Rattus norvegicus: one gene and its partner. The protein of the gene in region 1 purifies or fractionates together with the protein of each later gene. This does not show direct contact. Links are inferred from orthologs where the notes say so. Each region holds a gene or a part of one and is shown in the gene's direction. Other genes may lie near its edges.

Region 1 (3,753 bases):
TCATTCCCAGCTTATAGGAGAGGACCCAAGCACACAGAGGCTAGGAATGTGCCAGTAAGAGTTGGAGCTGGGGTTTGAATCTCAACAATCTGACTCCAGAGCCTCCATCCTCAATAGCTCTATTCTGCACTGAGTATGCTTACAGCTCTCCTTGGGGGACCATGTTCCCGAGGAGGTCTTAATCCTCTGGAGTCCTGGTGGGGCAGCTCCTCAGTTCTCTCAGCGCTACTTGCATGGTTACCTCTTGGCAGTAGTCCTTCCGGGTGGTTCCCCAAGGTAAAGCTGAGCTATCAGACATTTAGGGGAGATCTAGATCCCTATAGAGTGGATTCTGGGGAGCAGCACCTCCAGCCCACTCCCCATTTGGGTCAGCTTCCCACCTCTCTTTAAGTTTAGAGTTCCTACAGAGGAGCAGGCACTGGAAGGGGGTGGGGTGGGGTGCAGAAAGTTTTGAATGATCTCCAGCAGTGTACAAGAGTACTCCAGTAACCCAGTTACTTGACAGACCACCACCTAATAATGCAACCGACCCTTTCTACCTGGACTCAAAATAACCTCCCCTTCACCTCATTTTTTTTTCTTTTCTTCAAAGCTCTGCTTTATTTGGAAACTTAAAATAACTGGTCACACGGTTAAAAACAGCAGCGGCGCGCCCCCTCCCCGGCGGCCGGCCGCAGCTGTCCGGCCTCCCCCGCGCCCTGCCGCCCGCATTCCAACTCTCTGAGGTCACGCGCCGCCGCCTCCCCGGATCCGCGCGCCCGGCCCAAGGGGAGGGACGCGGGCCCCGCAGCTCCGGCCCCGGCCCCCGAGCTCCCCCAGCGAGTGCTGTCGCCGCCCGGCTGGTGTGGGCAAAGCGTGCGGTCGGCGCGCGGGTCCGGGACACGAGCGGGCGAGCGCTAGCGGCCGCGGCGGCCGCGCGGAACCCAGGGAGGCGGGACGCAGAGCCGGAGCGCGGCCCCGACCAGGCGGGAGCCCGAGCAGGTGAGGCGCGGGGGACTGGAGCAGGGGCGTAACAAAGAGCAAAGTCTTCCCTTGCCAGGCTTGCTCTGATCTCCTAGTCATTTCTAAAAAGAGTCTGGAACTTCTATTCCGGACTCCTCCGCGGATGGCTGCGGCTTAATTCTGGATCATGGTTTGAAATCTTGGGCATATTTGTGCCTCTCGGAATATGTGGAGTATGAAGGTTGCTGTATAACTTTGGCAACAAGGGACAAAAACCGAAGATCTGTTTGGCAACTCCTTGTTTCGGTTTTGGAGCAGGGCGTCTTTACTCCTGGAGGAAGAATTCTTGGATCTGCAAATTCCAACTTGTGATTTCTGCAAACCCTGTTTAGATTGGCTGCTCTGAGCATGCTTGTCCTATCCCCAGCCCCCGCGGCCAAGAAAGCCTTACGATAATAGAGAATGTTAGAAAACACGTTCTGAATCTTTATGAGCTCCAGTGTACCACTGCAGTATGTGTAATAGTTACTAGCCGATGTTTTCCTTTTTCTTTCTTTTTTAGTTTTGAGCAAGACAACAGTTTAACACTGAAAATAGTTGTTTTGTTTGTAGGCCATTTAATTATAGATTATCAATGTACAAATGTTCTGCGAGAGACATAGGATTGATTTAAGGCACTAAGATATAGACGTTCTAAAAATGTCAGACACTTTGTTTTTATTGATTATTTAGTGTTAAAGGAATAGTGCGGTGTTCCATGAACAAGTGGTGAGTGACTTGAGTGTGGTATCTGGTGAGACTCAGCGTTAAGGTAAACGTTGGAAATCTTTGGAAGGGAATATGGCTAAGAAAAATGGACTCGATAACAGTGCAGACCACCTTTTGTAAACTTGTGAAGCAGAATTTAATATGTATCTTTCCTTATTCTATAATGGAACGGTTTTGTAGAGAAATTGTTCCCTTTTTTTCTTTTTAAAGGCTCTTAATACTCCATTTCATTTACTTGTTGGCACCTAAATCTATCCTCGCCAGAGTATTTTAAATTTCTACCTCTTGGCTGTAATATGCAAACATAATTTATGGCATCATTGAGATATATATTAATCAAGCATTGCCACAGTCGGCTTTATACGAATAATCAAGAAACCAGACATTCTTAGGAGAAAAATGCATGCAAATATAACAATCAAATTATAACAGTTGCCAAAATAAAAAAGAGAAAACATTGGTTTTTCCTCCTCCCCAATGCTGTAAAACATTCCAAATCTCAGCAACAACTGGAATTTTGAGTTTGCCTAATCAGAACTTAGGTTAATAATTAAGTTATATAGTATAGTATACTGTGTTGAAGGCATAATTCCATCTTTATAGTGAAGAAATTAACACATTTGACAGTATATAAATCAGATGTCTTCCCTTTGGACATGCAGAACTTTTTAAATATACCTTGCTGTTTCAGTTGCCACGGTTTGAAGTCTGAAACCTACAGGCTTATGAGACAATACTTGGTATTCTACACTTTCGTTGTTGTTTAGGTCTAGGGAAGCACTATTAGTGTATCTTATGGTTAAAAGCTTGTTGAAGTTTTTAAAAGTATTTTCATTTTCTTGATTTTTTTTTCAGTTTTGCTCCATTGTTTATACTCTAGAAACAGCAAAGAATATTGAAAAATATTGCGACAGACTCTATTTTATTATAGTACACTCCCACCCCATCCCCACACCTCCAATTCCTTCTATGGAATAGGGCTTTTAACCAAGTAAGGCATCCAGCAATTACTAACATAGTGCTATAGGCTTCCCCTTTTGCTCGCCCTGGCCTTCTTCATCCCCGAGTTTTTTAAACTTGTCTTTCTGGAAAGAGAGGGGGAGCTCTCACTAGAGAGCTCCAAAAAAGCAAAACAAAAATTTTAGGAACCTTGACCATGTCCCTATTAGTGATACAGCTCTGAATATAATTATAGATGCCTGCAATCTCCTTAACGACAGAGACGGCTTAGGGTTCGTCTTAGATTTCCTAAGATGCTCATTACAGCCTTGTGCTCAGAGAGGCAGAGTACATTTGTGGAATGGAATCCCAAGACGTTAAGTTTGGCAGTCTAGGGTCATAACTAAACCTCATTTTCTAGCTCAGCCATTCCACAAGCCGGGTGCCCATGACCTCTGTGGTTGAGTCTCAGACTGTGAGCAGGACAGAAAGGAATACTGGGACTGATAGAGAAAGCCAGGGAGATACAAAATAGTTAGGTCCTTATTAGTGTGAAACCAAGAAAGCTGTTTCGGTTGAGGCCTGCGTTCGGTTTGTCCTGTGAGGCTTAGGGACGGATTGTCCCATCACGCAGTCTCGCACCCAAATAGGTAATCGGCTAGGATCCAGCCCAGCTAAAGATTTATCCACGGAGGAAGGGGCAGAGGTGAGAATGGTGGCAATGTGAGGGATGGAAATAGCTGAGATTTTTGTCAAATTGTTAAGGGGAAAATATTTTTAGTTGACATACATCCCGAGTTGTTGTTCGTCCCCAGTTCATTCACCGCAGAAGTTACTATCAACAAGCATGGTTAAAAAGTAGTGTGTTGGGGTTGGGGATTTAGCTCAGTGGTAGAGCGCTTGCCTAGGAAGCGCAAGGCCCTGGGTTCGGTCCCCAGCTCCGAAAAAAAGAACAACAACAACAAAAAAAGTAGTGTGTTTTGGGGGGGGGGTGCTGTTATGTGGATACGGCCTCAAAATGCGCGCCCAATCTCTCCCTGCCTGTAGGACCAACGCCGGCCCTTTAAGTCCTCCCTCATCGGATCACAGTGGGGGCAGGTCCTT
Region 2 (2,261 bases), on another chromosome or scaffold:
TGTTTCTTGGATTGCCTGTTTGTCGTTTTGAGATAATACGTCGTGTGTCCCAGGCTGGCCTGAAACTCTTAGGTATTTATAGCTAAGGAAGACCTTGGGTATGGGGATTCCAGGTGTGGGCCACCAGATCTGTTCTTTGTGGTGTTAGGAATGGAACCCAGGGCTCTTGCATGCCGGACAAACACTTTACCAACTGAGCTACAACCCCAGATTAAGGAATGAGTTAAATGTGGACACGAGCTGAAGGAGAGGAGGAACAGCTCGTGCTGTCTAAGTGGGTGGCCACCTTCCTTCCTTCCCTCCTTCCCTCCTTCCCTCTTTCCCTCCTTCCTCCCCTCTTTTCCTCCACCTCTCCTTCCCTTTCTCCCTCCTTCCTTCTTTCCTTCCTTTGAGACCGAGTCTCACTACGTAGCCTAGGCTGGTCCTGAAGTTACAGTCTTCCTGCCTCGGCTTCCGAGAGCTGAGAAACCAGATGTGTGCCCAGCTAGAAGGCATTTTAGAGTTGAGGTAATTTGTAAAAGCCTCACAGCATTCCTCAGAGGCAAGCACTACTGACTCATCTCACTGAAAGAGGAAGTGTGCGGAGACCAGATTCCTTGTCTAGAGGCTTCAGTGCCCGTATGAAACCTCAGAAATGCTAAGTCCACCTTCCACTGAATGCTCTGCGGGGAACTACACACACCACGTGGTTGGGCAGAGAGTACGCCTTCCTGGCTGGAGTGGCTTTTCCCCCTGACCTTCCTTCCTCTTTCCTATTAGGCCACACTGGAGAAATGTTCCACATGCTCTGAACCCATCCTGGACCGAATCCTGAGGGCTATGGGGAAGGCTTACCATCCTGGTTGCTTCACCTGTGTGGTGTGCCACCGTGGCCTCGATGGCATCCCTTTCACAGTGGATGCCACCAGCCAGATCCACTGCATTGAAGATTTCCACAGGTCTCAGAATGCCTGCTCTGACCTATCTCTTCATGTCCCAGGGTCTGCCTCTTCTTTTTCTATCTTTTCATTCTCTTTTTTTTTTTTGACATTACTTTCTTCCCCAAGACCGAAACACATCTCTTAGATCCTTCTCTCACACACCCTCCTACCCCCCAGCCCCTTCCACTCTTATTGGGCTCCATTATGAGCCTCTTGAGGGGTTGGGAGGGAGGGATCTGACAGCCTCTTTGGTTCCCCTCCCCTGCAGGAAATTTGCCCCACGGTGCTCAGTGTGTGGTGGGGCCATCATGCCAGAGCCAGGTCAGGAGGAGACAGTGAGAATTGTTGCTCTGGATAGAAGTTTCCACATTGGCTGCTACAAGTGTGAGGTGAAGAGGTCACCGGGCAAGAGCAAGAGCTTTGCAGAGCCTGGGAGGCTGGGAGAAAAGCACGGTGGGAAAAGTCACAGAAGAGCTCTCAGACTAATAGAGGTTTTGTTTCTCCTCACAGGAGTGTGGGCTGCTGCTGTCCTCTGAGGGAGAGTGTCAAGGCTGCTACCCGCTGGATGGGCATATCTTGTGCAAGGCTTGTAGTGCCTGGCGCATTCAAGAGCTCTCAGCCACCGTCACCACCGACTGTTGACTGCTCTAAGAAGGACCTGCTGGGATCTCAGTCCCCCTCTGTTACCTCCCCTGACATCTACCCTTAGTGTTTGCACCAAATGCTGTCTCTTCTTCCTCCCTTCATGCAATAATAATCAGTGGAGTGTTTAAAAGCTCTTGCAAGTCTGTTCTTTCATTAGAGTCTCATAGGATGAGGCTGGGTAAACCTCGAACCCCAGCACTCAAGAGGCAGGGACAGACTCTGTGAGTTTGGGGCTAGCCTGGTCTACATACTAAGTTCCAGAACAGCCAGGGCTACGTAACAAGACCCTGCATATATTTTGTTAACTCTCATCCTGTACTTTTTTGTTGTTACGTAAATTAAATGAACCCATTTATAGTAGGCTAGGGATGTCTCAAACGGTTGGATCTCTACTGGTCTTTCAATTCCTTCAAACTTCTGCTGGCAGATACAACAGAGGAAGTGGTGTTGGCAGGTCCAGGCCCCACCAGCCACTGTTCTCATGTAGAAACCACAGTGCCGGATGCCAGTGGCCTGTTCTTTTCATCTTGCCATCGCTCCAGAAGGAGCAGATGATCCTGATGTGCTCATCGATTTCAATGTTCTGTGCCATTTTCCAGAGGGAGGCATCGGAGCAGGTCCTCTGTTTACTGATGATGCTGACCTGCTTGGTACATGTAGCCACAATGCTGTGACGTAGGCCAAAGCCAGAAGATA

What was found.
Region 2: the proteins of Ptpn21 (region 1) and Trip6 purify together in Homo sapiens (affinity purification with mass spectrometry; 3 studies listed by BioGRID and IntAct, with this or other methods). This does not show direct contact. The link is inferred for Rattus norvegicus from reciprocal best matches to the Homo sapiens genes PTPN21 and TRIP6.

What each region holds. Positions count from the first base shown.
Region 1 is NC_086024.1:123,724,943-123,728,695, reverse strand, and holds the start of Ptpn21 (tyrosine-protein phosphatase non-receptor type 21), read left to right. Parts: upstream 1-886; 5' UTR 887-981; intron 982-3,723; exon of another isoform or gene 3,724-3,753.
Region 2 is NC_086030.1:25,025,669-25,027,929, forward strand, and holds the end of Trip6 (thyroid receptor-interacting protein 6), read left to right. Parts: intron 1-759; coding exon 760-938; intron 939-1,188; coding exon 1,189-1,309; intron 1,310-1,430; coding exon 1,431-1,562; 3' UTR 1,563-1,698; downstream 1,699-2,261. UniProt on the Homo sapiens protein: Relays signals from the cell surface to the nucleus to weaken adherens junction and promote actin cytoskeleton reorganization and cell invasiveness. Involved in lysophosphatidic acid-induced cell adhesion and migration.